Linked DNA regions of Ovis aries. The protein of the gene in region 1 interacts with the protein of each later gene in a pairwise test. Links are inferred from orthologs where the notes say so. Each region holds a gene or a part of one and is shown on either strand. Other genes may lie near its edges.

What was found.
Region 2: the proteins of VTI1B (region 1) and PTPN5 interact in binary tests that used the Homo sapiens proteins (3 or more experiments, as listed by UniProt). The two-hybrid records come from large-scale screens. The link is inferred for Ovis aries from reciprocal best matches to the Homo sapiens genes VTI1B and PTPN5.

Annotation. Positions count from the first base shown.
Region 1 is NC_056060.1:77,595,990-77,612,402, reverse strand, and holds the end of VTI1B (vesicle transport through interaction with t-SNAREs homolog 1B), read left to right. Parts: intron 1-2,875; coding exon 2,876-2,934; intron 2,935-4,551; coding exon 4,552-4,743; intron 4,744-6,882; coding exon 6,883-7,056; intron 7,057-8,838; coding exon 8,839-8,900; intron 8,901-10,105; coding exon 10,106-10,202; 3' UTR 10,203-10,437; downstream 10,438-16,413. Other genes in the region: ARG2 (arginase-2, mitochondrial), read right to left, coding at 10,665-10,870, 12,894-13,030, 13,955-14,059, 14,234-14,328. UniProt on the Homo sapiens protein: V-SNARE that mediates vesicle transport pathways through interactions with t-SNAREs on the target membrane. These interactions are proposed to mediate aspects of the specificity of vesicle trafficking and to promote fusion of the lipid bilayers.
Region 2 is NC_056074.1:23,560,868-23,577,280, forward strand, and holds part of PTPN5 (tyrosine-protein phosphatase non-receptor type 5), read left to right. Parts: intron 1-4,318; coding exon 4,319-4,512; intron 4,513-5,060; coding exon 5,061-5,168; intron 5,169-5,409; coding exon 5,410-5,487; intron 5,488-5,967; coding exon 5,968-6,209; intron 6,210-7,349; coding exon 7,350-7,539; intron 7,540-10,183; coding exon 10,184-10,268; intron 10,269-13,065; coding exon 13,066-13,145; intron 13,146-13,329; coding exon 13,330-13,467; intron 13,468-14,000; coding exon 14,001-14,111; intron 14,112-16,166; coding exon 16,167-16,327; intron 16,328-16,409; coding exon 16,410-16,413. UniProt on the Homo sapiens protein: May regulate the activity of several effector molecules involved in synaptic plasticity and neuronal cell survival, including MAPKs, Src family kinases and NMDA receptors.

The DNA.
Region 1 (16,413 bases):
TTAGTGAAAGGATCAAGACTCTGTGGACTACCTTGCCACCCCCCTACCCCAATTCTTATTATACAGCTGCCTTCTTTGAATTATTCTAGAATTTGTCTCTTAGGAAAGCAGACATTCATATCCTTTAACAAAGATTAAACGAGGAGAACTTAGGACTAACAGAGATGTAGAAAAATCTAGGACCAGAGCGCCCTTATAGAACTCTGTCATCTTGGATCAGGAGTGAGTGAGTGTGCTTGCGTTTGGAGATGTGTCTCTTCAGAGGAGTGGTGGCACTCAACACTTTCGTGAATGCTGATTGTAAAATATGATAGCTCTCCATGGAAGTAGCCATTCTTGATTGCAGATATTATTTCACTGCTGATGGGTGGAAACATAGCCCACTCAAGGATAATAAGGCTGCTTTGGCACTTCTGCTGGCTCAGACAGGGAGAATCTGCCTGCAGTGTGAGAGACCCAGGTTCAATCCCTGGGTCAGGGAAGATGCCTGGAGAAGGGAATGGCTACCCACTCCAGTGTTCTTGCCTGGAGAATTCCATGAACAGGAAAGCCTGATGGGCTACAGTCTATGGGGTTGCAAAGAACAACTAACACTTTCACTTGTGGTGGTAATTTCATGGTGGTTACCTCATGGCTGGTCAAGAGGTAGGCCTTTTGCTTTGTCTGAACTTTCTCCTTTTGAGGGGGTGGGTGGTGCGTTGTGAGCAGTGTGTGGTGAAAAATAGTTCACCTGGAATACCTATTAAGGGAATGCGCATGACAATGAATGCCGCTTAGTAAAGGGTGGATTGTCGCTTGACTCTTGCAGGCAATAACAGTGTCTAAGAAGCACCCTACCAGGTTTAGAGTTCTAGAACCTATGGGATGTACAAAAGAAAAAGTAAATTCCTCTACTCAGAGGGAGACTGAGCTCAAGTTGAGAATATAGAATATATACAGCCAAGTGATTTACGTTAAAAAGTAGTGGACAGCTGACATGGTAGATGCTATGTGATTAACACAATGTAAAATCTATATAAAGCATGACAGTGGTGTTACTTCCAACATGGGATTGGGTTTGAAAGTCAAGGTGTGAGATGAAAATCAGGGTAAACAAAATTATCCAAGAAAATCTTAGGATAGCATGTTGAGTACCCACATGCCATCCCTTCATAGGTCTTATACTCTACTGTTTTCTTGGCATTGGTAAAGATTGCTCTTTCTTCAGTTGATGGCAGTGCTGGCTTGTATTTAGAAATCACACTGAGTGAAAAACACATAGATTGTCCTCATACATGCTACAGTATGGAGGAACTTTGGAGGTTTTATGCTAAGCAAGATAAGTCAAACACAAAAGACAAATACTGTATGATTCCTCTTATATGGGGGTGCTTGGAGTAGTCAGATTCATAGACACAGAAAGTAGAATCATGGTTACCAGAGTCTGAAGGGAGGGCATATAGGGAGTTAGTGTTTACTGGGTGTAGAGTTTGGGATGATGCAAAGGTTCTATAGATGGATAGCAGTGATGGTTGCCCAATATTGTGTATGTACTTCATGCCACTTAACTGTACACTTAAAATGGTCAAAATGGTAAGTTTTATATTATTTTACCACAATTTAAAAAAAAGTATCCCAGATTGTGAATGTAATCCCAAAAGATGAGTTCAAAAAATATTATAAACAGTGACAGTTTGTGGTAATAAGTAGAGTATGTGTAGATTTCCGGGGAGAACATTCATTTTGCTGTATACATTTGAAAAAAAACAAACTCCTCATAAATAGGGCTAAGTTTTCCTTCTTAGGTGTGATTTGCCTCCTCATTTCCTAGCCGAGGAGGGAGGTTAGGTCCCAAAAAGATGAAGAGAATTATCCGGCTTACATGTTGAGTTAGGCCCAAAGCTAAGACCAAAACCTAAGCTCATTTACTCCCCAGCACTTCCCCCCATACAAAGTTTACCAGGTACTCACTTCATCATTGTGGTGTGTCTAAGCACCATTTTTACTGTAATTATTTCCTTTATATCAGTATTTCATGTAAAATGCATTTATTTAACATATAAAGTTACTTTAAAAGGACACTTTATATCACTGCCTTAGATGAAAAATCTATAGAACCTAGCTATATGATCAGAAAAGCTACAATGAAGACAAAACAGTGCTGGTTTAGTTAGATGTCCTTGCTTTGAGGCTAAAGCCTGTTCTGTTTTTTTAAAGAGGAGATTAGTAGTTTTTAGGTATTAAAGACATACTAGAACTAAAATGACAGGATGCAAAGGATTGAACAAGGAATGACATTTTCCCCTGTGTGAGTCAGTGGTATTTTAGATCATTTCCTATACTACTGCCGGTGGGTATGGCTAAGAAACTTGTGCTGTGTGCCTTGCAGGCTCTCCAGAGAGCAAAGTAGGTGGGCTTTGAATATATTTTGCAGAAAAGCAGTGGATAAGTGTTAATGTAGAGATGTGATTTACCATGGGGATGAAGACTTCAGAGAACTGGTATTGTTAAACATTCTTATTGATCAAAGCGTGCCTGGTCCCTTTGTTAGGTTGGTGAAAAAAGATTGACGATAATTAGACCTGTTTTCTTTCTTAGTAGGAATGCTGTTGGTCTTTGGGGCCAGATCATTGTTACACAGGACTGTCCCTAGTTTAGGTATTCTTGTTCCCTGGCCACTTAAATGCCAGTGATAATACCATCCATCTACCCCCCCCCCCCATTAATTCTGGTAACTAGTTCTCTTACTTTTCTAAATGTCTTTCAGGGGTGATTAAGTTCTGTAGGGTACCCCCAGAAAGGAAATGGGGAATATATTCTAAGCAGAGGGTATGTTCTCTACAAATAAATGTTTGGAAGCAGGATTGAGTATTTAAAACTCATCTGTCTTTTCCAGAAGAGAAGAAGAAGTTGATCAGAGATTTCGATGAAAAGCAACAGGAAGCAAATGAAACGGTGAGAACAGGAACAAGTCCTATTTCCTCTTCCTGTCTGTTGGTCTTTGCCAGAAGTAATGCTTATGACATTATGATCACAGATTTAACTGTTCCTGTCTATTGACCTTAGTTTTGATTATTTCTTACTAAATGAGGCCAGTTGATGGGGATGGGTATTTGAGTAAAACTTGAAGATTCCTCTGTGAGTCCTTGATAAAACATTGCTGATACAATAAGGACATTCTCCTTTTACCTAGGTGGCCTTTTGAAAGCACTTTTTAAAAGCTGGCCATTAAGATAACTTACTCTCCTTTGTTAAATTTACTGTCACAGAAAATGGAGCTCAGAGGTGGTTCCTACTCACATTGCCTTGTTTTGAAAAATAGGTTTTGGTACCTTGGGCAAGGTATGCATGGTCAGGATGAGTTCTCAGTCAGGATCCTAAGCTTATCAGAAGTTGGTCCAGGTTGCTAAGCAGTTTAAGAACTGCTTCATTTAACCTGTGACTTTTCTTTAAGAAAAAAAGAAAGAAAGCAATTTTTGCTCTTACCTTTTAGAAGTAAGGATCCTCTGTCTTCATCGCATTGTGTCTAGCTTTAGCAAACCCTTTTAGGAAGCTGGAGCTAAAATCTCGATCTCTGGTAGCACTCCAAAGAAATAGTTGCCTCTAGTATCTGCTACCCCAGAGTAGACTGAAGAATTCTTTTTAAGCCAGAGAACTTTATTGTTTGTTGAAGAATACCTCCTTTATTCCAATGAAGTTTTGAGAAGTTAAGCCCATCTGCATCCTTTTTTTTCCGCTCTGCATGTATTTGAAGGAGGATCAGCCTACCAGACTATGGAAACTATCACCTTCATAATGGGAGTACCAGAAACTTTTCTAATACCTCTGCATTACTGGGCATATATCTGTGATATCTGTTACAGAGCTAGGCCTCTTTTTCAGTTAACATCTTGGTAGCATTTTCTAAAGTTAACCAGTCCTACTCTAGCCATCCAAAGCAGAAGAAAATGACTCATGGGCTCTTACAAATGATTCTATGTGTTACAATTTACTTGTCCCAGAAAAATGGAAATGATCTGGACCCCTGGTTATTCTCACATGGACACAGACAGTTGATTTTCAGGTGGAGGAAGGGAAGAACCTTGATGCCATACCCCTAATCATTTTTAGTACAGTAGGTCCCTAAGTGCTTCGTGATAGCACTTGGACCATAACAGGCTAAGAACTTGGTATACTGAAAAGAGTATGAAGATCTGGAATCCTGATTTATGTAATCTTGAACAGGTTTCTTCAAGTCTCATATATGAAGTAAAAGTATTTCCTACCGTTTTGATCTGTTGTGAGAGAATACATGTCAAAATGTTTAATAAGCTATAAGTAGCTATAAGCTACTTGTTAGTTTTCTCACTCATTCATCACATACCTTTTGAAGACCTGTTCTGTGCCTGCTGGGCACTGCACCAAGCACTCAGTAATGAAGTAAAGGTGTCACGTGTGGTCCTTCCCTTCCTGGGCCACATGTTGAGTATTTATTTAGGATTGCTTGTGGTTTGATTAGTCCAAACTAGACATATTACCCATATGAGAGAGAATAGAAGCAGGCCGTCTACTCACTGCTTTCTGCCTTCCTAGCTGGCAGAGATGGAAGAGGAACTGCGTTATGCACCCCTATCTTTTCGTAACCCTATGATGTCTAAGCTGCGAACCTACCGGAAGGACCTTGCCAAACTCCATCGGGAAGTGAGAAGTACGCCTTTGACAGCCACTCCTGGGGCCCGAGGAGACATGAAATATGGCACATACGCTGTGGAGAACGAGCATATGGTGAGTTTTAGCCATCTTTGTCCTGTGGGTCTGTGGCACAATGATTAACCAAATTGTGGAGTACAGTTCAAATACTCCACAAGTACGCCTGGTTTTTTCCCTCTTCTTTCTTGCATCCAATTTCCCTTCTCCCCTTGGGTGCCTGCTTCTACTGAATTTAATGCAGATCATTCCAAGCAATTTACCTGTTTAGATTTTTTTGTATCCTTTATGTATAAAACAGTGCTTGATGGGTAGTGGTGATAAACAAGTGTTACCTATTCATATTATACCTGGACTCTAGTCTGATTCACCAATCCAGTTTCTTTCTCACATATCCCCCCAGAGTTCAGTTAAGATTTTAACTTATCAGAGCATTGTTATTTGTATCAAGATGGCCCAATAGCCCAGATACAGTAGAGAAAGCAGGATGCTTCCCAAAAAGGGGGCTGACGCCTTACTTCATCATAATAGAAAGTGAGCCAGGCTGCCTCTCTAGCCTCCAGTGTTCTCATTTATAAAATTAGACTACTAAATTGAAAATGTATATTCTCAAACTGTCTAAAGAAGCTAGGTAGGTAAAGGAGAAAAGCTTCACAAAGGTTAAATTTCATGTGTTACATTTGGGACTATATTCCACAGCACGAAGTAGAAATGGCCTGGCTGGTAATGTGGGAGAGAAGTGGAAGGGGGCCCACTAGTGCAGACTGTATGGATGTAGAAAGGCTGATTAAACAAATCCTGTTTCATGAAGCACCCTCCTAAATATGGCTTAAGAGATATTCAAATGATAGTGGCCTGACATTCCTGATGTGAAAACTAGAGTACTTGAGAATGATGTAAAATTTTCAAAGGAGAGTGGGAAAATGCAGGCAAGTAGCGCTTGTTAAAAGTGAGATGAAAGGTGTACAGTGACTTTGGTCATCTGTGACCCAAAAAGCCCCAAAAACAAAAGGGGGGAAGATAATTCCAAGCAATAATTTTGCTTTAAAATTATTAGTTTCAGAAATTATAAAAACAATATAGGTATATAAAGTACTTTCAGTAGAATTACTGTTCCAAATCTGGGGTTGATTCATGTGACCTTACTGTCTCTCCCTGCTCTTTCTTAAGCCCACTCAGTTGAAAATCCTCATCTTTTATGTTTAAAAATGCTGTTTTCCTGCTGCTTTTAAGCCAGTGTAAACTGGGGTTCATTTCAGCCTTATTCAGTGGTTTCCTCACTCACTCGTCTGTATGCTGTATATGAAGTGAAAAAGCCTTCTTGTTGCTTCTGATCTGGAAACACATCTTTTCAGCTTCTTACTGGTGGTATCGAGTGCTAATGGTCACCTGCTCAGTAACAGGCCTTGTGAGCTGACCCCTTTTCCAGAGTTTGTACGCACGTGTGCTCTGAAGAGCTGAGGACTTAGAGCTGCCTCCATTTCTGTCAGTAGTTATTTCTGGCCTGACAAAGGCTGCTTCGGTCCTCATGCCTCCTGTGCTTAGGAATAGGTGGAATAATACTTTGGTGGAGTTTCAGAAATAGGGCGCTTACTTGGCCCCAGATACTACCTCCCCTGAGAGTAAATCACCAGTGTAACAACTTCAGTATTTGTCTTCTGTGTTTGGCCTGAGGCGAAATTCTTTGGATGCTTACCAAGAGTGTAGCTACTTTTTTCCAGAGAGGAGTAGTCTTTCACACTTTTAAGTGATTTCTGTGTGTGCTAAACACGAATAGCTTATTCTGTGGTCACTCAGTACCAATCAGTGGGAACTTTCAGTGAATTACACTATCTCTAAGGCGGTAGAGTTTAGTTGGTTTACCCTATCAAAATGATAGGATGTATGCATTTTCAGGTAGCTCCTGCATCCCAGATCTGGGCCATTGCCTCTCAGAAGTTGTTAGTCCAGGAAGCACATGAGTCAGTTCAGATTCATCAGGAGCACAAGGAAGATGCTCTGGTGTATTGAATCCTTTCCTTGCCTCACTTACATGTAACAAGCAGTGGACTGGGAGGTATTGTGATCCTAGATTGAACCCCAGGTTCTCTTGTAGTCTGATTCATTAGCATCTTTGATTGTCTTACAAGTAATGAAAATTACTACACATTATATCCCTTCTTATAAATTCATTTATAATGGAAGAAGTCTAACAATTCCCTTCCATACTCCTGTCAGAATCGGCTACAGTCTCAAAGGGCATTGCTTCTGCAAGGCACTGACAGCCTGAACCGGGCCACCCAGAGTATTGAGCGTTCTCATCGTATTGCCGCAGAGACTGACCAGATTGGCTCAGAAATCATAGAAGAGCTGGGGGAGCAACGTGACCAATTGGAACGTACCAAGAATAGAGTAAGTCTGGGTGGATAGGGAGAGGGGCAAAAATGGGGAAAGTAGGTGGGCCCATTACACCCTGATGCTGTCAGAAGCTACCACAGTTCCAAATTCAGGGTATGATTTTTTAGGTTCTTATGCTTTCTCTGTTCGTAATTTGCTTGACTAAAACATATCCCTTGGAAGTAATTTTACTTGTAAGATTTAGAGGTCATTGGGCAGGGGGAGTGAGATTGCATAAAACCCAGTTTCTGCATTTATTGAAGATTGTCAAATAGCATTGTAGCCATACCATCCTTTTATTAGGTCCTGTATTATGAACTAAATTTCTGTCTCTCACACGTCTAGTAGAACACCTGCTATTCTTATGAAAGCCAACATTTGCTTTAAAAGATTCTAGCTTTCCTGTCATTTAGAGCCAAAGCTATTTTCCACATGTCATAAAATAGTACTACCGACAATTTAAAGAGGTTTAATCCTGGACTCTTCTTAACCTAAGGTAAGGGAGATCATGGGCTTCCCTGATGGCTCAGTGGTAAAGAATGCGCCTGCAGTGTAGGAGACACAGGAGACAGAGGTTCGATCCCTGGGTCGGGAAGATCCCCTGGAGTAGGAAACAGCAACCCACTCCAGTATTCTTGCCTAGGAAGTCCCATGGACAGAGGACGTGGCGGGCTACAGTCCATGGGGTCACAGAGTCAGATATGACTGAGCAACTAACACCACTACTGCTACACACTAGGGGAGATCACTGTGAGAAAACAAAATCCTTAGGCCAAATGATGACTATATTGTGGCCTCTATCTACTATCACTCTAAGAGGCTCTGAAAAACAACTTATTTCTTCCTTTCTGTACCATCTGCAAAGGAATTTTAAAAACTGCCAATGGAATGCTGTGTTAAGAGCATGAGGCAGATAAACGAAACACAGATACTGTGGGCAAGACTTAGACATGAGAAGGTCGTCTCAAATCCCCACACTGAGCTGTTATTTTCCCACGTTAGTGGCCATAATTCTCCACTCTTAAAATCAAGTCAGGTATCACCCTCCTCAGTGAAAATTCACAGTAAAGTACTGAATTCAAGTAAGCTGCAGAGAAAGCAGCTTGTTTGCAGATTGCATGGTTTATTTGTTTTTACTTTTGAACTTACTAGATGGATTAGTTGAATTTAAAAGCTGAGGAATGAGCTGAGAGATCAACTTAACCAAGGCCACTGGTGAACAGGAACAGATGGCAGGTGGCATCTGTTGAAATATCCTCCAGCTATATAGGTTAGTAACAGGCAACAAAAAGGGGGAAAAAAAGGCTTTTAAAAAAAAGATTAATTCCTTTCATAATTCAATGTAAGTATCTCTTAAAAGGGTAAAGAAAAAAGGAAAAAGAACCAGATCTCAAAAGTGGTAATCCACCAGCCTATAAAAACAAACATTAACTCAGGAGGCTCTCCTGGAGTTTGGCTGATGAAATTCACATCTTAAGTTGCTCAGAGTTACTTCGGTTACTGGCAAGGTACACTTGAAGACTTTGTTTTGTGTAGCCACAGTGAAGGATTAGCTCAGTCCCAGAGGTCTCCTCACAGCAGCCTTGGGATACAATCATTCCTAGGCCTTATTGATAAGTATTAGAGTATCTTGTCCTTTCCAGTTTCTTCTATTTACAGAGGCCATCATTTAAATTGATTTGATTTCTGGGAGTTTTTCAACATAAACCCTTTAACACCCGTCAATTTACTCAGGTTCAGTTCTACAGTGTGTACTTCTGTAAGAAGAGGGAAATAATTGCTATTTTCTCTTCTCAGCTGGTAAATACAAGTGAAAACTTGAGCAAAAGTCGGAAGATTCTCCGCTCAATGTCCAGAAAGTAAGTTTTAAAAATTAGTCACAGAATTAATTTCTCTTAATTCTAATCTTTCGGCTGAGAATGTCAAAGCTTTAAACTGTGACTTGCAAAGGTACTGATAAAACAGAAGAAATAAAGAGTATCACATAGTTAAGTATCCCAGGAAAAAAATCCATTTTTGGAAGTATATATGCTGGTATGATTTGGAGCCATGGAAAACTGGTCTACTGGAAGGACTTTTTATCCTAGTTTACATTCCTTAAAGAAGAGAGCACATGGGAACAGAGCATTCCTGGAAATAAATTTGTAAAAACTTAATTAGAAAACTTTTCACTGCTATGGCTTCGTACTTGATTTTGGCTCTGCTTGCCCTTTATGGGAGTCAGCCCTTATTTGGGAGTTCTGTCTTGTTAGCAAGGAGCTGACTTGAGAAAAAACCGTCTAGGTAAGTGCTGACAGCAGCAGAGCCATGGGCAGAAGGGAAGTATTGGCACTGAGGCTGAATTTGGGGCGTGAGTCGGTGTAGGTAGTATGAATGAGACTATAACCAAGTTATGGAACTAGCAAGAGAATGAGATTTTCCAAAACAGTGGTAAGTTCCTTGTGGAGCAGGAAGAAATGTCCGATTTCGATTCTTTGTGTTAAAGAATATAGGAGTGTCAGAAAAATTTCTACCTTTATAGAGAAAGAAAGGCAAGAAGTTTGAGAAGACATTGAAAGGCATTCCCAGCTTCTAGTTACTCATCCTAAAGCAGGACCACCTCCTTGTACCCAAGCTGGACTTGGACCCTGGAGTCTCCCGCCACCCCTTCTCCTAATGTGTCCTCACAGCTGTAGATGTGTTAGGTAGTGAACTTCTACTTTGAAATCTGATTCAGCTGATTTAAAATATGGTATACTTTTTCACATGTACATTTAATATTTTTCTAATTAGCCCATCATAGAAAAAGTACTTTTAAAGTGAAGTACTAATTACTATTTGAAGACATTTTAGAAAAAAAACATTTGTATGTTTTGGTACCTTATTGCCCCATTTTTCAATATTTTTGTGAGGTAGATAGTAGTAATTATTTACAGGTTACTAAGTGGCTACATGATCAAACAAAAATTCAGTCTGCCTCACAGTATCCTGCCTTGGCCCTAGGTCAAACTCCTCAGTATTAAGAATGGAAAGAAATAAGGTTACCCAGAGTTCTGACTACATCCCACTTTGCTTCTCTTTGTAGAGTGACAACCAACAAGCTGCTACTTTCCATCGTCATCTTACTGGAGCTAGCCATTCTGGGAGGCCTGGTTTATTACAAATTCTTTCGCAGGCATTAAACCTCCTGTAGGGAAGGGTTTGTGGACCAGAACTGTCACTCAGTGAATGAATGGCGTTAGAGGTGTGGAAAAAAATCTTATTGCTGCTGTGAACTAGCGGTTCAAGAAGGCACTGTGTAGCCAGACTGTGGGTGGAGGGAGGAAGACGGAAGACCACTGAAATGTGAAGGAACAGTAATAAGACCAGTATGATATACCAAGGTAATAAATGTCCTTTATGACTTCTTTAAGTTTACACAGTGCTCCAACATATTAATACCCTGTGAGCGTCAAAAAACAAATACATGTACAGTACTATTATCGGTCACCAAAATGAAAGGGAAGGAAACTTTACAATTGTAAGAATGCACAAATGTTCTCATTAAGGCAGTATTGACCCAGATGATCATTCAGTTTCTGTCACCGCAAACGCCTCACGGCTCTGGAATGCCCACTGTGACATGTGTCAACAAACAGTATTCCCTAAATTCTTACACGTTCTTCACTCTCTGATTCATCTGGTGAGCTGGGAGTAGGAAGTTGGTCGTAGACAACATGCCCTCCCTCCCTCGTCTGCCCGAAACTCGAAGCAATGACATCCACTGCCAGGCTGGCTGTAGCCTTGGCCTCCTCTTCTGACACAGCCAACCGAGGATTGACTTCAACGAGATCCAGGGCCGAGAGCAACCCTGAAAACACAAAGCAGGACAAAAAGAAAACTTCCTAGCTGCTTCTTTCAGTGAGGGTCGTCCCACCTGGGTAGAACACACCAAGGTGAAAGGGTCATTTTCTACTAGAAAATTACCCACTGTCAGGAAGGCCCTTACACCTCATCCTCTTGGGCATGAATTTAAGTTAGAAACACTGGTAATGCCGGAGTAGGATTGAAAGAAACCTTTAAAGTAATTAAGTCAATTATCCCTGTTTAATAACATAACAGGCATGACTTGACAGGCTTTCTGGTTAGGATGAGCAAGGCCGGGGTGAGGGGTAAGCAGGGGTGGCAGTAGGAGTTTCCAGTCTAGTTGGGAAAATGTATCATTTCCAGTATTTCTAGGGACCTGCCAGATGCCTGCCTGTAGCTGTGTGATGAAATCTCTCACGTCTCACTAGCCAGCACTCTATTCCCACTTCTGAACTCTGGCGCTGTGTAACTTTTAAGGCACCATGTGTCCTAAAGTATAGCTGTTACTGCATATCTTACTCTCACCCCTGCAAGTTTGAACTCTGAGGACAGACTCCATGTATGACACAGTTCTTAGGTCTCCCTTCAGACTGATGCAGTATCTTGCACTTGGTCATATTTAGTTTGAACTCCAGTTACCTTCTGTAAGGGTCTGGGTACTTGTGCCAAAGGGTTTGAGGCGGGAAGATTAGAGCATAAAAGAACCTATCTAGGCCTGCCCTCTGCCCCTCCCCATCAACATATATATGCCCTACTTCTGGGGTGTTTATCTTTAGTTGGTTATTCTGGATGAAGTTAATCTACCTCCTTTAAGAGTCACTAGAAGAAACTAGATTGGAGTATACAAGTATCTGAGTATTTAGGGTGGCCATAAAGCCTGGATACATGGATGGATATACCTATTGACTTATGGATATTATATTTTAGTACATGTACATTCAATGCTAGCACATCCGCACAGTGTGCCGTCCCTTAGGAGCAATGTGGAGTTCAGTGCACCGTGCAGAACTACAGTGAGCAGGTGTGTCCACCAGTCCCTGCACACGCATCTGTATCGTTTCCACCTACTAAATGTGGACCTTTTGCATAGCCCAGAAGTAAATCAGGAGGGTACAAACTGTTAAAAACATATACTACCCATATTTCTAGACTACTGCCACCTTGTAGATTAATTTAAGCAAACTGCTTTATCTAGTTGATGAAGTACCATTCAGTAATTGTTTAAATTTTATAATGAGAGGTCATTTAAAGTAGCCTTAAAACCAAGAGTTTTCTGACAGAAATGGAAAGTGTTTGCAAATGAGTATGAGTTTGGGGACAGTAACCTCTTGTAGCTACTCTTTTCTAAAAATTTTTACTAATTTTTTGCACCACGAAGCTTGTGGGATCTTAGTTCCCCAATCAGGAATCGAACCCAGCCACTGCAGTGAAAGCACCAAGTAAGTCCTAACCATTGGTCCACCAGGGAATTCCCCTCTTGTAGCTACTCTTGATCCCCTAGCTTGCAGTTTACTCCTCTTCCTGTCAGCCATTCATCTTCCAGTATCCCCATATTACAGGTCCTAGCAAACAAGCTCTAGTATAAGACTTCTATGAAAGGGCACAAGGTATTGTCCAGCTTTGAAATATCTTCAAGGGAAGCTTCAGCTTGATGTTCTTAACTCCCAGTGAACCAGTCTCATAGTGTCAGGGTTAAAATTAGAGCTATTTCGGCTTGCCTTTTAGTCTTCATCTGCCTTTATACAATTCAGATGCAAAGAACTACATCAGTTTGGCAGTTTATTCTTGTGTTTATTAAGTGTTTAAGTGGGTAATATTTTTTTTTTTACTCAGTGTTACCCTAATGTATTTTGTTATCAGCCAGGTCCAAACATGCCTCTAAATTAGCCTGGCCACATGGCTTTTAGCTATAGAAGTTTAAAGAGAAACAATGTCTCCAGTGACATGTAATACTAGAAAAGATCCCCTGGCAGGCAAGAGGCTTCAGCAGATCTATTTAGGTAATTAACAGGTTGATCACTGCTTACCTGTACTGTGTATTTCCTCAGTAATATACATGCCTTCTCGATAGGTCAGTCCCCCTACAACAGGGGTTCCTGTGGCTGGAGCCAGTGTAGGATCAAATGCATCAATATCGAAACTCAGATGGATTGGCCTTTGTCTTCTTGAAAGGAGGAAAACAAGAGAAAGTCATTTGGGCTGTACTTGGTTATTTGTCCTTCCTACAGCTACAACTCCTTGGTTTTGCTGCTGTTCATGCTAGTACTTTATTAACACAGCAGATTTCCAGATTTGTTCTGAAAGTTATTGTGTTAGGTGCTTACACACCACTTCATAGTCTTGCCCTCAGTTCTGTGTGCCTCAGACTAACTCCAGTTTGTATTTCTGATTTACCCTGGGCTTTAGAGCCTCTTACATTAAGAACTGTCAATAGAGGGAATTCCTCACTTCCATAGGACATGGGTTCTGACAAATTCTAGTTGAAGTTGGATTGGTCTAGGTTACAGTTAGTTACTCTCTCAGTAGAACCGCAGCTCTGAATTTATGACTGCGATCTTACCATCTCCCAATTCCAACTTCAGTTTAGCCCAGGCATCCAAATGGTTGAAGGTAACATAGTAAACACCTATGTAGTAAATTATTTATACTTCTTAACACTTTAAGAAACAGTATATTACCGAGGTGGCAATTAATCACCCAGAAATGAAGACTCAGCACTGGGAAAATGTTCTTAACTAGCATTTGATTAGCATTCACCTGTCATCTTTCTATACCACCAAGATTTGCTTAATATAAAATTTTCAGATGATGCAATAGTTGAGCCTGGGAAGAAGAGAAAAGTTGGAATGATGAATGCTTCTCCTCTCGAAAGATAAGCATTAAAATTGGAGCTAAAGAGAAATTCACCGAGCAGTTTTCCCTCCCAGCCCCAGAAGAATATGACTGAAGTTTCAGTCTCCCTTTCTGATCTGAATTTTTTTATATGTACGTTTTGCTTTTATAAGGTCATTATCTTAAGAGACAGGCCAAAGTTTACTGCCCTGTTCTCTTTGGGACCTAGAAGTAGACATCCATTGTAGTTACTTACTTGCCAATCAGCAGATCGAATGTCTGTTCCATGACCTTCTGGATACCAAGTCGATCTATGTCTCTCATGGAAAAATACTGGATATCATAATTCTTTAAAATAAAACTGGTGAGATATAAAGGAAAAAAGCCTTAGCTAAAGAGGAGTTTTTCAATCAGATGTGGGAGTGGGGTTTGTCTTTATAGTGACCTACAACAGGTTAAGTCCAGAAATAACCTATCAAATGGAACATTAGTGGCCAGGACAGGACCAAAACTCAACCCTAACATATTAACTTACTGTTCAGGAGGGTCCACGTCTCTTAGTCCAATATATACAATACTTGGGGAAGAGATACAAGGTTTGATCCAGGAAAATCCTGGGAGCTGTGGTACCTGTGAAGAGAAGGACTCATCAGAGATTCTCAGTCTCTCCAAGGTAATCACTGTGTGCGGTATGCTTTCTTTTCTCACCCCCAGTGTATGTGTAAACCAGCAAACACACAATCTGGGAAAGATCTGATAGAAGTGGAAATGATTCAGAAGGGCAGCTGCAGAACAGTATAGTCTTCTGAAGAATAAAATACCTTCTCTTAATACAATCACAGGAAACTAATCAAACTGATCACATGTACCACAGCCTTATCTAACTCAGTGAAACTATGAGCCATGCCCTGTAGGGCCAAGATGGATGGGTCATGGGGAAGAGGTCTGACAGAACATGGTCCACTGGAGAAGGCAATGGCAAACCACTGAAGTATTCTGGCCTTGAGAACCCCATGAACAGTATGAAAAGGCAAAAAGATAGGACACTGAAAGATGAACTTCCCAGGTCAGTAGGTGCCCAATATGCTACTGGAAAAGAGTAGAGAAATAACACCAGAAAGAATGAAGAGACAGAGCCACAGCAAAACAATGCCCAGTTGTGGATGTGGCTGGTGACAGAAAGTTTGATGCTGTAAAGAACAATATTGCACAGGAACCTGGAATGTTGGGTCCATAAATCAAGGTAAATTGGAAGTGGTCAAACAGGAGATGGGACCTGGGGAATCAATGAAATAAAATGGACTAGAATTGGTGAATTTTACTACTGTGGGCGAAAATCCCTTAGAAGAAATGGAGTAGCCATCGTAGTCAACAAGAGTCCAAAATGCAGTACTTGGGTGCAGTCTAGAATGACAGAATGATCTCTGTTCACTTCCAAGGCAAACCATTCAATATAGTAATCCAAGTCTGTACCCCAACCATTAATGCTGAAGAAGCTGAAGTTGAACAGTTCTACAAAGACCTACAAGACCTTCTAGAACTAGCACCCAAAAAAGATGTCCTTTTCATTATAAGGGACTGGAATGCAAAAGTTGGAAGTCAAGAGAGATACCTGGAGTAACGCAAATTTGGCCTGGGAGTACAAAATGAAGCAGGGCAAAGGCTAGCAGTTTTGCCAAGAGAATGCACTTGTCATAGCAAACACCCTCTTCCAGCAACACAAGAGAAGACTACACATGGACAGCACCAGATGGTCAATACCAAAATCAGATTGATTATATTCTTTGCAGCCTAATGGAGAAGCTCTATACAGTCAGCAAAAACAAGACCAGGAGCTGACTGTGCCTCAGAACATCAACTCAATCTTATTGCCAAATTTAGACTTGAACAAAGTAGGGAAAATCACTAGACCATTCAGATATGACTGAAGTCAAATCTCTTGACTATACAAAAGTGACAGATAGATTCAAGCGATTAGATCTGATAGAGTGCCTGAAGAACTATGCACAGAGGTTCGTTACATTGTACAGGAGGCAGTTATCAAGAGCATCCTCAAGAAAAAATACAAAAAGGCAAAATGGTTGTCTGAGGCCTTATAAATAGCTGAGGAAAGAAGAGAAGCTCAAGGCAAAAGAGAAAAGGAAAGATATACCCAATTGAATGCAGAGTTCCAAAGAATAGCAAGGAGAGATAAGAAAGCCTTCCTCAGTGATCAGTGCAAAGAAATAGAGGAAAACAGTGGAATGGGAAAGACCAGAGATTGCGTCAAGAAAATTAGAGATAACCAAGGGAACATTTCATGCAAAGATGGGCTCGATAAAGGACAGAAATGGTATGGACCTAACAGAAGCAAAAAATATTAAGAAGAGGTGGCAAGAATACACAGAAGAATTATACAAAAAAGATCTTAATGACCCAGATAACCATGATGGTGTGATCACTCAGCTAGAGCCAGACATCCAGGAATGCAAAGTCAAGTGGGTCTTATTAGGAAGCATCACTATAAACAAAGCTAGTGGAGGTGACAGAATTCCAGTTGAGCTATTTCAGATCCTAAAAGATGATCTGTTAAAGTGCTGCACTCAATATGCCAGCAAATTTGGAAAACTCAGCAGTGGCCACAGGATTGGAAAAGGTCAGTTTTCATTCCAATCCCAAAGAAAGGCAATACCAAAGAATGCTCCAACTACTGCACAATTGCACTCATCTCACAGG
Region 2 (16,413 bases), on another chromosome or scaffold:
TACCATCATCCTCGTCTATCACTTGTCCATCCTCATTCACTCACCACAGAAATATTTATTGGAGACCTACACGCTAGCACTGATGCTATATGCTGTGGACAGTCATGATGACCATAACTGCTCTTCCCATCATGGAACTTACAGAGAACTGGCAAAGATGATATAGTCAACAAATAATTTGGACACACTGTAGGGAGTGTAATGTAGTTCAAGGGCCTGTCCAAGTTCAGTTCAGTCACTCAGTCATGTCCAACTCTTTGCAACCCCATGGACTGCAGCATGCCAGGCCTCCCTGTCTATCACCAACTCCCGGAGCTTTCTCAAATTCATGTCCACCGAGTTGGTGATGCCATCCAACCATCTCATCCTCTGTCGTCCCCTTCTCCTTCCACCTTCAATCTTTCCCAATATCAGGGTCTTTTCCAGTGAGTCAATTCTTTGCATCAGATGGTCAAAGTATTGGAGTCTCAGCTTCAGCATCAGTCCTTCCAATGAATATTCAGGGCTGATTTTCTTTAGGATGGACTGGTTGGATCTCCTTGCAGTCCAAGAGACTCTCAAGAGTCTTCTCCAACACCATAGTTCAAAAGCATCAATTCTTCAGCACTCAGCTTTTTTTATGGTCCAGCTCTCACATCCATACATGACCACTGGAAAACCATAGCCTTGACTAGACGGGCATCTTTGTTTTTTAATATGCTGTCTAGATTGGTCATAGTTTTTCTTCCAAAGAGCAAGCATCTTTTAATTTCATGGCTGCTGTCACCATCTGCAGTGATTTTGGAGCCCCCCAAAATAAATTATCTCACTGTTTCCATTGTTTTCCCCATCTATTTGCCATGAAGTGATGGGACTAGTTGCCATGATCTTAGTTTTTTGACTGTTGAGTTTTAAGCCAGCTTTTTCACTCTCCTCTTTCACTTTCATCAAGAGGCTCTTTATTGCTTTGATTTCTTTCATAAGGATGGTATCATCTGCATATATGAGGTTATTTTTATTTCTTCCTGCAATCTTGATTCCAGCTTGTGCTTCATCCAGCCTGGCATTTCACATGATGTACTCTGCATATAAGTTAAATAAGCAGGGTGACAATATACAGCTTTGACATTACTCCTTTCCCAATTTGGAACCAGTCTGTTGTTCCCTGGTTCTAACTGTTGCTTCTTGACCTGCATACAGATTTCTCAGTTGACAGGTAAGGTCGTCTGGTATTCCCATCTCTTGGAGAATTTTCCACAGTTTGTTGTGATCTACACAGTCAAAGACTTTGGTGTAATCAATAAAGCAGAAGTAGATGTTTTTCTGGAATTCTCTTGCTTTTTTGACCGTCCAACAGATGTTGACAATTTAATCTCTGGTTCCTTGCCTTTTCTAAATCCAGATTGAACATCTGGAAGTTCACAGTTCACGTACTGTAGCTAATTCTTCTTAACTACAATCAATCAATAGATATTAGAAACCTATTATTTGTTTTAGTTCTATGCTAGGTACTATACTAACATTATAAATTTGAACACATAAAAACCATTATGTATTATTGCACTGGAGAAGGGCATGGTGAACCACTTCAGGATTCTTGCCTTGAGAACCTCATGAACAGTATGGAAAGGCAAAAATATATGAAGATGAACTCCCCAGGTTGGTATGCTCTTCTCCAATATGCTACTGGAGAAGAGTAGAGAAATAACTCCAGAAAGAATGAAGAGACAGAACCAGAGCAAAAACATCACCCAGTTGTGGATATGACTGGTGATGGAAGTAAAATGTAATGCTATAAAAAACAGTATTGCATAGGAACCTGGAATGTTTGGTCCATGAATCAAGGTAAATTAGAAGTGGTCAAACAGGAGATGGCAAGAGTGAACATTAACATTTTAGGAATCAGTGAACTAAAATGGACTGGAACGGGCGAATTTAATTCAGATGACCATTATATCTACTACTGTGGCCAAGAGTCCCTTAGAAGAAATGGAGTAGCCCTCATAGTCAACAAAAGAGTCTGAAATGCAGTACTTGGGTGCAGTCTCAAAAATGACAGGATTTAAAAATATGACAGGATAATCTCTGTTCATTTCCAAGGCAAACTATTCAATATCACAGTAATCCTAGTCTATACCCCAACCAGTAACACCAAAGAAGCCAAAGTTTGAACATTTCTGTGAAGACCTACAAGACCTTCTAGAACTAACACCCAAAAAGGATGCCATTTTCATCATAGGGGACTAGAATGCAAAAGTAGGAATTTAAGAGCTACCTGGAGTAACAGACATATTTGCCCTTGAAGTACAAAATAAAACAGGGCAAAGGCCAACAGAGTTTTGCCAAGAGAATGCACTGGTTATAGCAAACATCCTCTTCCAACAACACAAAATTCTACACATGGACATCACCAGATGGTCAGTACCGTAATCAGATTGATTATATTCTTTGCAGCCAAAGATGGAGAAACATTATACAGTCAGCAAAAACAAGACCAGGAGCTGACTGTGGCTCAGATCATGAACTCCTTATTGCCAAATTCTGACTTAAATTGAAGAAAGTATGGAAACCCACTAGACCATTCAGGTATGACCTAAATCAAATCCCTGTCCAGGTGGCCTAGTTCAAACCCACCACTTATTAGCCTCTCTGCACCTCATCCTCCTCTTCTGTAAAATGAGGATCACAGGAGTGCCAACTTCATAGGGTACCATGAAGAGTGAATATATTAACACGCACAAAGCCCTCAGAGCAGGGCTATGTTCCAAGTATATTATTTTGCTGGCCGTCTGAAGGAGAGACGTGGGTTGCCAGGTGTGTATGATGGGGAGGACCTGCTTTAGGAGACAAATGATGGAGTTCTACAGGATGAGTAGGAGTTAACTTGGCAAAGTGTTTTGGAGGCAGGTGAGGGGAGCAGGATGTTGGAGGGATGATCCTGGCAGAGAGGACAGGATACTCAGAACACAGCGGGTGGGCTCTTTCCCTGGGAAGAGAGGGAAATAACTGGCACAGAAGTTCAGGCATCTCCAGGACCCAGCGCTCTGCTCCACACTGTTGATCCAGGCAGTGGGAGAGGCTCAGTAAGTATTTGTCATGTAAGCAATCGAGCATGCAGACATCGTGTCTTGGCTATGACGATTCCAAGTCCCCCATCCAGAAAAGGAGTCTATTGTCCCACGTACATAATATGTGAACTGTCCCAACCCCTCACTGTCAAGCTATACACATCTGTTTTGCTGGTCCCTCTCTCTCTCTCTCTCTCTTTTTTTTTCTGCCACACCACCACATGGCACGTGGGATCTTAGTTCCCTGACCAGGGATTGAACCCACACCCCCTGCATTGGAAACAGTCTTAACCACTGGACCACTGCCAGGGAAGTCCCATGGTCCCTCTCTTCTTGGCAATAGACTAGACGGCGTCAGTTTGGATGGGGAGTTCAGTAAGGTGGTGCTGCTGGAATCCCCCACTCCACTGGGGCCTCAGCTCTAGCCCGGTGCCGTTCAGACTTGTTTAGTGGTGGCACCTTGTGCTGAGATGATCTTAGAGGATACCCACTATACGGAGTGCGACCAAACAGCTTCCATGGCTGAGGCTTGGGTATGGGGACTCAGAGCACCTGGTCATAGCTGGGTCACCAAGAAAAATGCCAGAGCTCCCTGAAACACAGAAAGCCAAGGGAGGAGCTTAGCCCCCGCTTTTGAGGTGTGGAAACAGGTCCAGAGAGGAGGGGGTGACTCTGCCAAGGTCACACAACCAGGGACAGACCCAGAACTGGATCCCAGACATTTGACATCAGCTCTGCTACCCCAAGGTTTTGCTCCACTGCCACCTGACCACCCCCACTCCCCTAGTGTGGTGTCTCAAGGTGGGGCAGGGGCATGTGGCTCTGACCTTGTCAAGTCAGGATACAGAGAATGAGAGACAAAAACCGGGAGGGCAGGCGTGGGTGAGCTGTTCAGGGTCACGGCCTGGTTACGCTGTGCCTTTTTTTCCGTCTCTCTCTCTTTTAATTGAGTTTGAGGTGGTTGTTTTTTGTTTCCTTAAGAAATGGGAACAGAATGAAGCTGCGTAAACACCACAATGTTAACTCCGTGAAAAACCTCCTGCCATTTTAACTCTGTTACTGGAGAAATAAAAGAGAAATAATTTGTCCACCCACACTTAGCTCTTTCTGACGAAGGTAGGTGAATATTGCTTTGCTAGTCGAGGGTGACTGCTGGAAGTGGAGCCAGGCTGACTGATCTTGGATTGAGAGGAAGCCACGGCAACCCCAGCAGGAGCAGCCCGCGGGGTCGGCAGGGCCTGGGTCACCGGCCACGTTGTCACCTTCCGCAGGTGTCCGCCAGCCGGTAGGGATGGAGGCGCTGGACCAGGCCGAGGCGCCCGCGGCCTCACAGAGAGAGATGCCACCGCCCCCACCTGCTTCACCGCCCTCGGAGCCAGCTCAGAAGCCGCCACCTCGAGGCGCCGGGAGCCACTCCCTCACCGCCAGAAGCAGCCTGTGCCTGTTGGCTGCCTCCCAGTTCCTGGTAAGGACATCACAGGCCTCGCCGGGCCTGGAAGGAGGGCGGGCTGAAGGACGGCCTCCGCTTCCTCCCCAAGATGGCCGCCTGGGGACACAGAGGAGTGAGGGGCCTTCCCGGCGTCCCTCGTGCCTGCGGCCATCCGGCTGGCGTGAGAGAAGGCTGGAGTTCCAAGCCACAGCCTTGAGGGCTGAGCCCCTCATGCGCTGAGCTCAGAAGCAGGGATGCAGGCCCAGCCCCCAGCCCCCCATGGTCCTGCGGGCGTCTTTCTGAGGACTTCCTGTCTCTGCAGGCACCTCTAGGAGACTCCCTGTGATGTGTATACCTGGTGGGGTGGTGGGACCCCCTCTGCGAAGGCTCCCTTAAGTCACATTTTCTCCAGGCAAAGTCCTATGCCCTTGGCCTTTGTGGCACAGTCGGACCTTGGTGGGGGTGCGGGCGGGGTAGGCGGTAGGTTGAGGCTCCAGGTAAACTCTTGAGGGTAGGGGAACGGGGAGATATGGGGGCAAGGAGGCCAGACTCCGAACTCAGTGCACTGGCCCCGGCCACCCCAGCTCGCCTGTGGGATGCTCTGGCTCAGCGGCTTTGGCCCCATCTGGACACAGAACACCACAGACGTCGTCTCCTCTGCGCTCACGTTCCTGGAGCGGCTGGGACCCGCGGTGAGTAAGCTCCAGGGAGCCCCAGGGTAGGAGGGAGCGCTTGGGGGCCTCCAGCCCCACCAGCCCCTGCCTGGGGCTTCTTTGAGTTCATATGATAACCCTGAAAGGCTTCTTCCTGTCCCCTCCCCAGAACCAGGTACAAAGTTCTCAGAGCCTCAATCTTACCCGTGCTGAAATAGATGAGAACGCGCCCCCACCCCCCACCCGCATCACCCTGAGCTGTTTGTCTGATGTTCCCCAGGCCTGGCTGGGCACTGGGACCTGGGACATCTCCAGTCTGCTGCTGGTCTCTCTCTGTGTGATCCTCGTCACCACCCTGGTAAGGCTCCTCCTGACCCGACCTCGCTGCTCCCCTCCCGTGACTCCAAGACCCAGTCCCCACCTTGTCTCCTTTGACCTACGGACTAGATGTTGTGGGTAGAGCTGAGGAGGGGCACCTGTCTTCTTCCACCAATGTGCCCAGGCTGGGGTGGAGAGAGGCCCCTTCTTTCTCAAAATTGGTTTGCAGTGTTCTTGGCTGGGGAAAGGAGCTGAGACAGTGTGAAAACCGGAGTAGGAACACCCCACCCCACTAACAAAGCTTCAAAGCATAACAACCTGAGGGTTGGGGAAGGAGGGGGCCGGGAGGACATCTAGGTAGCCTCCCATCTAGGTGAGTGGTGGTACTCTGCAGACAGTTCCCAGGAGAACAAGCCTGCTCCAGACACGTGGAGGGGCAGGGAGCTCAAGACCCTGGGCATGCCATCATCCGGGGACTGCTGCCAGCATGGTCCATGATGCCAGTTATGTCCCCAACTAGGTGTGGCTCCTCCTGAGGACTCCCCCAGAGCCATCCAGCCCGCTGCCCCCCGAGGACAGGCGCCAATCGGTAAGCCGTCAGCCTTCCTTCACCTACTCGGAGTGGATGGAGGAGAAAGTCGAGGATGACTTCCTGGATCTGGACCCCGTCCCTGAGACCCCTGTGTTTGACTGCGTGATGGACATCAAGCTGGAGGCTGACCCCACCTCCCTGACCGTCAAAGCCATGGGTCTGCAGGAGAGGTGGGTGCAGCAGAGGTGCATGGAGCTCTTAGCTCCCTGTCGGAAGGGCAGACGCCTGATTCTGACTCAGTGCCCAGGGCAGAGCTGAGCTCATAGCCCCACCAATGCAGACATGTGCTCTTCAGGTCTGATTCATGTAGATCTGAATGCCCCAAAGTGAACACGAAGAAACGTTACTGCACACAGACATGTAGGCATGCACAGGTGTGCACACGTGCACACTCACACATACAACTCTTATGGCTCGGATAGGTTTCTTTACTGTAGGACTTGTTGGGAGCCTTTAACATGCTTGTAGTCATTGTAGATTGACAAGGGGTTGTGTGTAGCCTTCCTCAAAGTTATCCGACCACAGAACCCTGCTTTCATAGTGTCTCGTAGGGTTCCACACAGCACATGTTGGGAGGTGTCAACACCCTCTGCAGAGCCTGGCTGGGTTAGCTAGATCCCACCAGGGTTGTGTTGTCCACATGATGTCATGGAAAGAGCACTGGAGGAGGAGTCAGAAAACCTAGGTTTTTGTTTCAGCTCTACTACCCCCTTACTGTACGTGCTTGGGCAATTCTTATCCCCTCTGTGGCTTTCAGTTTCCCTTTCTAGGTAATGAGGGTAATGGGTCACTAGACTCTGAACACAGCAGAGTCTGCTCAGTCCACTCATCCTTGCTCAGCTGTGCTACCCCTGGGATCCCGTCTTTCCCGAGCCTTTCCTGGATGAGATGTCCTTGGAGGCTGCGGCCCTGGGGGCTGGGGTACTGAGGGTGGAGCCCTGCTTCTCTGCCCCAGGCATGTGCCCTCTCGGTGAGCTTCCCCTGGCTCTGGGAGCTGTCTCTGGCAGGGGCACAGGAGAGTGCAGGGAAGGACTGTACTGAGGGGCCTCACATGGAATCTTTGGGACTGGGGCCCAAGCCCACACGCAGTTAGCTACTCTGCTGCATGGGGCAGGAGCGGGTGGCAGGCTTAAGCCTTAGAGCTGAGCCTCATTCTGTCTGTGTTGGGGTTACGTCATGCCCACTCCTCTCCCTGGGACCCATCAGGTTCCCACCCCATCTGCCGCTCCCTCATCCTCCTGCTCCAAGGCCCCCAGCTAATGGCCCTTCCTGCCCCTGATACTCACTGCCCCCCTTCCCGGTCCTTCCAGGAGGGGCTCCAATGTCTCCCTGACCCTGGACATGTGCACACCAGGCTGCAACGAGGAAGGCTTCGGCTATCTCATGTCCCCCCGTGAGGAGTCAGCCCGAGAGTACCTGCTCAGCGCCTCCCGCGTGCTCCAGGCCGAAGAGCTTCACGAGAAGGCCCTGGACCCCTTCCTGCTGCAGGCAGAATTCTTTGTGAGTCCCCCTGAACCAGTGCCCCCACAGAGGGCAGCCCTTTATGCTCATGTTGGTCCCCCAAGCAAGGCTTTGGAACAGGGTACCCCAAACTCAGCATCTGATGAACATCATTTCATTCTCACCTCTCCTACTGTCTTGGGCTAGCTGCTTCCTCTCTGGGCCTCAGTTTCTCATCTGGAAAATGGGGATAAAGATAACAGGGGTGTTGCAAGGATTTGAAAGATGCAGAAAATGTGCAAAGTGCCCATCAGGTGATTGGTGTTTGTGGCATTCTTAAGTCATCATCACCTAGGATTGTCCTCCGGAAGTCTTAGACAGCTTTCTCTTCTCTATTTGGAGATGTGGGGTGTGACACTATGTGGCACCAGGGATTATACCTGGGGCCCAGCAGTGAAAGTGCTGAATCCCAACCACTGGCCCGCCAGACAAATCCCGAAAGCCTTCTCTTCTGACTCTCCCATTTTCCCACTCTCCTTTTACCTGGCATCACCAAACAATGTTCATCCTCCTTTGAAATCTCTCCAGTTCTGTGGCTCCAGCTTAGGGTGGTCCTGATTACCTCCCCCTCCAGGCTCTAACAGCAGCCCCCTCCTGTTGGACTTTGAGGGGCTTATAAATGACCCCCCTGTTTTACCTGCCCGAGCACTCAACCAGTTAAAAGCTAAGATAGAGAAGATCCCAAAACCACCTTTATTTTTGCTGATAAAGGCTAGGTAAGCTTCTGTTCTTGTTTGTTTTTTGTTTTTCCATTTTGACTGCTCTGAGTCTTTGCTGCAGACCACAGGCTTCTTTCTCTAGTTGTGCCACGCAGGCTTAGTTGCCCGGAGGCATGTAGGATGTTAATTCCCTGAGCTGCGATCAAACCCATGTTCCCTGCATTGGAAGGCAGATTCTTTATCACTGGACCAGCAACGAAGTCCCAATGCTAGGGTTAACATGAGGATTACGTATGTAGCAGTAGTGAGCCTCCTAATACCAACCGCCAGAATGAAGCAACTTTCCTGCCACCCCAGGCGGTGCTGGTACATTGCCAGCCTCACCCCATGGGGGTGCCCTGTAATTCTTTCTTAGCAGGAGGGTCGGAGGAGGAGGAGGAGGAAGTAAGGGGCTAGCGCCCCAAAGCTGAGTTTCTCAATCAGACACCATCCGGTAACTCACCCACCGTGTGGGCAGGAATGGGCAAGAGCCAGGAGCATTTGGAGAGAGTCCCTCCTGGGAGAAGCCTGAGGGATGGGGAACCTGCGTGCCTCCCTCGCAGCTCCCCTTGTCCCAGGCCACCTGCTCCCTAGCAGAACTGGATGGCTCTCCTCTCTGAGCAGCCCTCCATCACCTCTGACCTGCGGCTCCAAAGTCTCCAGTATGTGGTCCAGCCTGCCTTACCTGAGTTGAGCCAGCCCCAGCCACCTTGTCCAGACTCAGGGCCCCATCCCCGCAGGACTGCCCACTTCAAACTTGGCCCTCAGCCCACCCCCTCCCCGCACCTTCACAGTCATCAGCCCTCACCCTGGAGGCCCTTAAGATGCCTTCCTGGGCTACCCAGCCTGGATGTGTCCCCGTGGCCACACCTCCGCTTAAGGGTGTGTGGCATGTCCTTGTCATCTCCGGTTTCATAGTTCATTGTCAGTTTTGCCCAGAGAGAGAGGAAGTGGGGATGCTCACATACCCACCCCATGGGCACTTCTGCGCCTGCTTTTTATTCTTCTGATTCTCACAACCACCTAGAAAGTGAGTCTCATGATCCTCTTTGTACAAAGTGCATTCTTAGTGTGTCCACAGTGAACACTGTGATTCATGACGGTGAGAGATGGCAAGGGTGCTAAAGTGTGTAGACAGAGGGAAGGGGCGCAAGAGGACAGTCACTGAGGAGTCATCCCACAAGACCTGGTGGGAGGGGCAGCAGAGAACCTTAAAGGCTGAGAAGGATTAGGGTGATGAAGAGGGATGCGACCAGTGCTCCCCGCAAGTGAAGTGCCGCAAACTCAGACGTGGAGGCTAGCCGGAGACTGAGAGATTAACTACAGAGAAGAGATGGGCACAACTGGAGGGTGGGGGTTTTGAGAGCAGCTGGTGGTAAAGAAAGGCCAGCTCCAAGAAGACCTCACATTCCAGGCAGAAAAGTTCAGACTTGGCGCTCTTGACATGCAGAGTGATTGAGAGGTGCAAATACAACTCTGGGAAGGCCCAGAATGAGGTTGCCTCCCTGCTGGAGAATCAGGGAAGGCTTCTTGGAGGAGGTGTCATTTCCGGTGCACAGCAGGGCATGAGAAGATGAGGATGGAATGGATGTTACTACCAGGCAAGCAGCACGACCCAAGGCCCTGAGCGGGGCACCTACCTGGGGTAGGAACGTGAGTCAGCAAAGCCACTCGCCGTGGCTGCAGCGCAGGGTGTAGATGAAGGTGGTGACTAGCCAGGTCACTTCTTCCCTGTTCATCCAGCGTTCACTGAGTGCTGACTCTGTGCCAGGCTGGCCCTCCATAAACAGTGGTGTGCTAACGTTCATTATGCGCTCAGCATGTGCCAGGACTGCTCTGGACGCTTTTCGTGTGCCCTCACTCATTTAACAGTCGATGCTTGTTGAATGAATGCATGCATCAAGCCAGCCCACAGCTGCTCTCAACCCTGTGCCTTCCTCCTACAGGAAATCCCCATGAATTTTGTGGATCCAAAAGAATATGACATCCCTGGGCTGGTGCGGAAGAACCGATATAAAACCATCCTTCCCAGTGAGTACTCAGCTGCCCCTCACCTGGGTGCCCTTAAACCCTGAGGCCCATGCCCTTAACTCCAGCATGGGCCTCCAGGGTCGCCAGGCAAAGGGATGGAAGGTGGGGGTGCCCGGTGAAGGGAAACACCCCCTTTAGAGGGCAGAGGGCTCTTGGTTCCTTCATACGGCACTCTCCAGATCTTTGCCCTGGACAAGCATTGTGCTGGGCTCTGTGGAAACCCAGAGAAAAAGGGGAACAATAACAGCAGCTCCTAGACAGGGCATGGTGGCTGAAAATTGTGGTCACATCCCTGGTCTCTTCAGAGTGGACAGGTTTTAAAGAGAGGACATTAAGGCTCAGAGAGGTTAAGTGGCTCATCCATTGTCACACAGCTAAGATGTACAGAACCAAGTTTGAAACTAGGCCTCTGTAACCTCAAAATTGAGCTCTTTTGTCTACCTGGAGTTCACTTTGGCTAGATTATGAATCCTCTAACAGGCAGAGCCACCTCAAAAGGGAGCGAGCTGCCTGTCAGGTAGGAAACTCCCCATTGGCTAGGGTATTCAAGCTAGAATGCATGAGTAGTCCCCCTGGAAGGTTTCATAGGGATTTTCCCCCTTTGGGGGTGGTTAGACCAGGTAACCTGATATTCCTCTTTTAGCCCAGGATGTCATTTTCAGGTAACTTTCATCAGGCCCCTGTCTGCCTGTCACCCCTGCCAAGTTCTGGCCCAAGGCCCTAGGACTAGCTTGGGGGGTGACTTATTGAAACCAAATCCCCACAAACCTACTTCACTCAGTTTATGGAGTAAGGAGGCTTTAAAAAAGCAGTTTTGCCATCAGCATCTCCAACAACATGTAAGATGTCATGACTTATTTTTAACTTTTAGAATATCGACTTGTGGTTGCTATGGTTACACAGAGTCTAGGTAATTCCAGTTAGACAAAGCACCATTTAAGGCCAAGATTCAGGGCTGCTCACCTCTTCCCTCCTCTTGCTCCCCCCTCCACCCACCAAGCCCTACCTGAAGGGAGGGCTTCGGGTACCCCACAGTCTCGGGCTTTGCTGGCCACTCAAAATAGCCACTGGGGGAGTATGAGAGCCAGGCCATCGCTCCATCTGGTCCCCACTGGATTCCTGAGAGTAATCCAGCCTCCAGCCATGCCCTATGCCTGCAGCCCCCAAGCCCAACAGAGAATCTTCACTGTAGCCAGCAAGAATTGACCCTGTGCCCTCAGAGACTGGACTGGGGTGGGTGGTAGAGGCCCCTCTAGGATCAAGGACACCCCGAGGCTTGCTTTCTCATTCATTCAGAGGCTACTTCTGGATCCCAATCCGGGTACCATGAGGGGAGGGAGGGGGCCCATGCAGGGCTGCCTGTTCCTCTCCCCTGGTCACACAGAGCCCCCTTCCGTTCACCCTCGCCCTTCCCCATACCTGACTCTCCTCCACACCCCTCGCCACAAGAGCTGCCTCACCCCCACCTTCCCCTCCACAAATCACCTGCCCAAACCTCAGGCACTTGGACCAGGGCATGAAAGGGCTGGCGAGGGGAGTTTTGTGGGTATCCCTTTCCATTTCATATTCCAGGTTTGGGATCCTCTTTTTGACCTGTTAATTTAGAAACTGATTTAATTTATACTTGCAGTGATATCAGTAGCAACACCAACTTGCTCTATAGTGACTGGGTGCTGGCCTAAGTTATGGGTCTGAGGACTCATTATGAACGGCCACTCTTGAACCCTGACAGGATGAGTGAGGTTGTGACGGAAGGAATGTTCCCAGTTTATGGAGGAGGCACAGGGGTACTCAGTGAATGGCCTGCACTGGCACCAACAGGACTTGAACCCAGGCTCGCTGGTGGGCGGTGTTGACTCCTGACTGCTGATGCAGTCTTTGAGAGCCCTGTACGGGGCACACGGGCAGGGCCTTTAGTCCAACCCTCCTTCCACGGGAAAGACCCTGGGGGCCAAAGAAGGGAGGAGATGCAAGCTGGCGACAAAGCTGGACAGAGCCCAGAACCCAGGCCCCCAGCCCCCCCCCCCAACCTCCTGGCTCAGTCCCAGCCTCTGCGAGTTTCCAGGACAGACTAAATCAATACAGGGAGGCTCTAGGAGGCAGAGCATGACGCAGTGAGAATCTGGTGCTCTGGGATTTGACAGGTGACTAGATTGGGGTGGGGGTGAACCCTTATGGACGTGTGTGTCGTCTCATCTCAGGCTCAGAAGACTTTACTCCTTTCATTGTGATACTCTCCCCTGGCATCCTACCCAAATCTTAGCTATAACATGCTTTACAATTGACATAGCCCTTCCCATCTGTTTTCTCAATTGTCTTCCCAACAATCCAAGGAACTAGGCATCTTTACCCCCATATTACAGATCAGAAAACAGGCTTAAAAAGGCCATGTGCTTTACAAGCTTACACAGCAGGTTGGGGACAATGTATACTCAAACTCTTGCTGGTCCTGCTGGCTAGGATGTATCCCCTAGGGAATTTCTTACTGTCTGAGCTGTCTCCTCCCCAGAACATGAAGCACAGAGAGGACCAGGCAGCTTAAGGGATGCAGGCAAGGGTGGCCTGGATCCTACAGAGGGAGAGAGCCAAGGCCTCCCTGTACCGTTCTCTTCAGCCTGGGTCCTCACCTTCCTGAGTGGGCCACAGGGATGGGTCAGTGTTTTGCTTCTGGCAAGGGAAGAAGGAACTTCCGGTCCCAGAAGAAATGTAGGTGCCCTGACATGGGCCAGAGAAGGTGGGCCCACACAAGAGGGATTACACGTTCAAATCCCAGCCTCACCTGTCTCCACTACCTCAGACCCTCACAGCAGAGTGTGTCTGACCTCACCAGACCCTGACGACCCTCTGAGTTCCTACATCAACGCCAACTACATTCGGGTATGTAACCCCATCCCAACAGTCTCTCCCTAAAAGGGAGGTCCGGGTCAATGGGGTCCATCCACTAGGCTTGTCCCTAAGTCCGTCTGGTTCCTGCCAGCCCCCGGGGAAGAGGCTGAGTGGGGGAAATGGGCCCCGGGAGCCCAACAAGTAACCCTGATGGCCTGGACTTGGCTGGTCACAGGGCTATGGTGGGGAAGAGAAGGTGTACATCGCCACTCAGGGACCCATCGTCAGCACGGTTGGCGACTTCTGGCGTATGGTGTGGCAGGAGCACACGCCCATCATTGTCATGATCACCAACATTGAGGAGATGAACGAGGTAGGCCCCTCTGGACCTCACCAGGTGTCTGCTGCTTGGTGCCCCGTGCCAAGCATCTTATTTCCGTGTTAATCCTTTCAGCAATCTTGGGAGGTTGGTATGTTCACCTTGCTGCCTTGCCCAGGGAAGGAAATGTGAGGCTCAGAGAGGTTAAGTCAGTTACTCAGAGCCACACAAATAGTCAGAGGCAGAGCCTGGAGCTGGCCTCTCCACCTTCAGTGCTCAGGATCTTAAACACGCTGCTCCGCTGCCGCCCAGCCTGCCAGGGCTGATGCTGGCTACTTCCATACTCATCACAGCCCATTTAATTGAAGTCCCATGAAGGTCCTTCAAACTGAGTATTACTTCCATTTTCCCAGATGAGGAAACTGAGACTCAGAAAAGGGAAGTAACTTAACAAGTGAGAAGTTGAGATTTGAGCTAACTGCAAACCTACTGCCCCATTGTCTGTCTCCCCACTGGCCCGGGACAGGCACTGGGGAGGGCGTGGTCGGGGTGCTGGGAGTATCTCAGTCTGATCTGGGCCCCTGCAGAAGTGCACCGAGTATTGGCCGGAGGAGCAGGTGGTATACGATGGCGTGGAGATCACCGTGCGGAAAGTCATCCACACTGAGGATTACCGGCTTCGGCTCATTGCCCTCAGGGTGAGGCCTGGGGTTGGGCTAGGCTGGGCTGGGAGGAGGGGGCACTCCACAGCCAACAGGGTCCCAGAGGCCAAAATAGCTGAAATTAAGGCATGTGTCACTCCAGGCTTTACTGATGAGCAGGGATGAGGGGAAGAAGGGGTGAGTCATCTTGCACATCAGAGGCAGAACCAAATTCTCAGTGCATTTCTTATCACTGGCGTCTGTCCATCCACACTGTCGTTCATAATGTCTTCAAGCTCGGCTTCAAATGTACCCAAGGCCAAGGCTGTCTGGAAGAGGGGGCTTCAGCAGCTTCCATATTCTGCCTGGAAACATCCCTTCACCTGGGATGCTGGGCTTCCAACCTGTAGTACCGAATCTGTCCACTAGAGGACAGGCGCTTTTTGCTGCATTTGGGTAGCACAAGGAGGTTGTGGTTATAGGAAAAAGAGAAGAGGACATAAAAATTATGAGCAGTACCGAACAGCCCAGAAGAGTGTGGGGAAGTATCCTCCCACCCTGAAGATTGTGCTTCTTCCAGGCTCAGCATAATAGGGGAGATTGTTCCTTTGGAGTCAGGAAAATCAGTGCATTCTGCTTTTGAGAAATCTTTGTGAACCCTTTTTGGGGAAAGTGGTACCACTGTAATTATCCCAAAGTCTGGAAGAGGTGACCTAGGTGCCAGGAAGCTGACATCCTATCCAGAAACAGGGAGGTCCACTGATGCTGGCAGCCACAGGGTCTGAATAGGGTGTCAAGGGCGTGAGACTTGTTCCTCTGAGCTGCCCCCTCCCACTGGAGAAGGTGAAAAATGGCGTGTCAAGGAGAAGTCAGCCCCTCGAGGGCAGTGCCCAGTAAGCATTTCCAGGATGTAGGTTTGCTCGAGGGCATTTCAGAGGTGGAGGATAGAGGCTGTGGTAGCCCATGGAGCAGCTTCCTTTTTCCCCTGAAAGAGAGGCTGGGCTGCCACATCTTCTAAGTGCTGTGGGACTGGTCAGGGACCACTGGGCATTTACTTTTGTCCGTAACCTTTACAAGCACCTGCCCTGAGCCTGGTTCTGGGTTGGGTACTGGGAAAACACAGAGCTGTCCAAAGCCTGGACTCTCTCCTCAAGGAGCACCTATAAAATGGTAAGTACTGACCTACAAATAAGTAAAAGCACAGAAGAAGGACATGTTGTCAGCTAGGGTGCTCAGGGAGGGCTTCCTGGAAGTGGTGGTGCTGAATGGGGTTCCGAAGGATAAGAGTTGGCTGGGGGGCAGACATGTAGAGAGAGCATTCCAGACAAAGGGAAACTAAAAGTAAGGGCACAGAAGATAGAACAGCTCTGTGTATAAATGTACAGGGAATGGGGGAAGCAGAGATTTGATCAACAAACCATCTGGAGTGCAAAGGCATCAAGTACAGGTTCACAGGAGGACTTGGGCTTGGAGAGGTAGACGCTGTACCATGTGTCTTGTTTGCCCGAATGAAGAGTAGGGAGGGTGTGTTTGAGTTTTAGAGCAACAAGAGCTATCAGAGCGTTCTGAGCGGTAGAACAGGATGGGCTGTAGACAGGCCTTCTGGACCACTGTGGATCTGAGCGATCAGAGAGGAGGAGGGGAGGGCCCCACACAGTCGAGAGAACAAAGTGAAGGTGGTGGTGGAGAGGATAGCACTGGAACACTGGCTGGGGGGGACCAGGGGTACTGGTGGGCAGGAAAGTATATTGAGGCAACAGGAAGGGTCCCAGGGCTCTTGTGGGGGTGACTGGGCTATCTGTGAAGGGGCAACCAGGAGACAGGAGTGAAATGGAGAAGGGGCTCTTCACCTCTCTTGGAAGATCCTGGAGTCACTGGGGCAAAACCCATGTGAAGACCAGTGCTGACGCTGCTCACCAGTCCCCACTGCCCAGCTGGCCTCGGGTCTCTGGCTGCTGCCTCTGGGCTGTACGGGGTAGATGGCAGAGGTCCGAGGTCCCACTCCCTGTGGCCTCCCTCCTGTGCTTCCTTCTCCCTTCCCATCTCTATCTCTGGGCTGGTGGCTGGGCTCAGTTCACGTGTATCTGGGGTGGGCCTCTGTCTCCTGGACAGAGCGGGACAGAAGAGCGAGGCCTGAAGCATTACTGGTTCACGTCCTGGCCCGACCAGAAGACCCCAGACCGCGCGCCCCCACTCCTGCACCTGGTGCGGGAGGTGGAGGAGGCGGCCCAGCAGGAGGGGCCCCGCTGCGCCCCCATCGTGGTGCACTGCAGGTGGGTCCTCCCAGACACCCACTGGGGCGTGGCGGGGCTCCCCGGCGGCCCCACCCCTCACCCCCGTGCCCTGGGCCCTCAGCGCA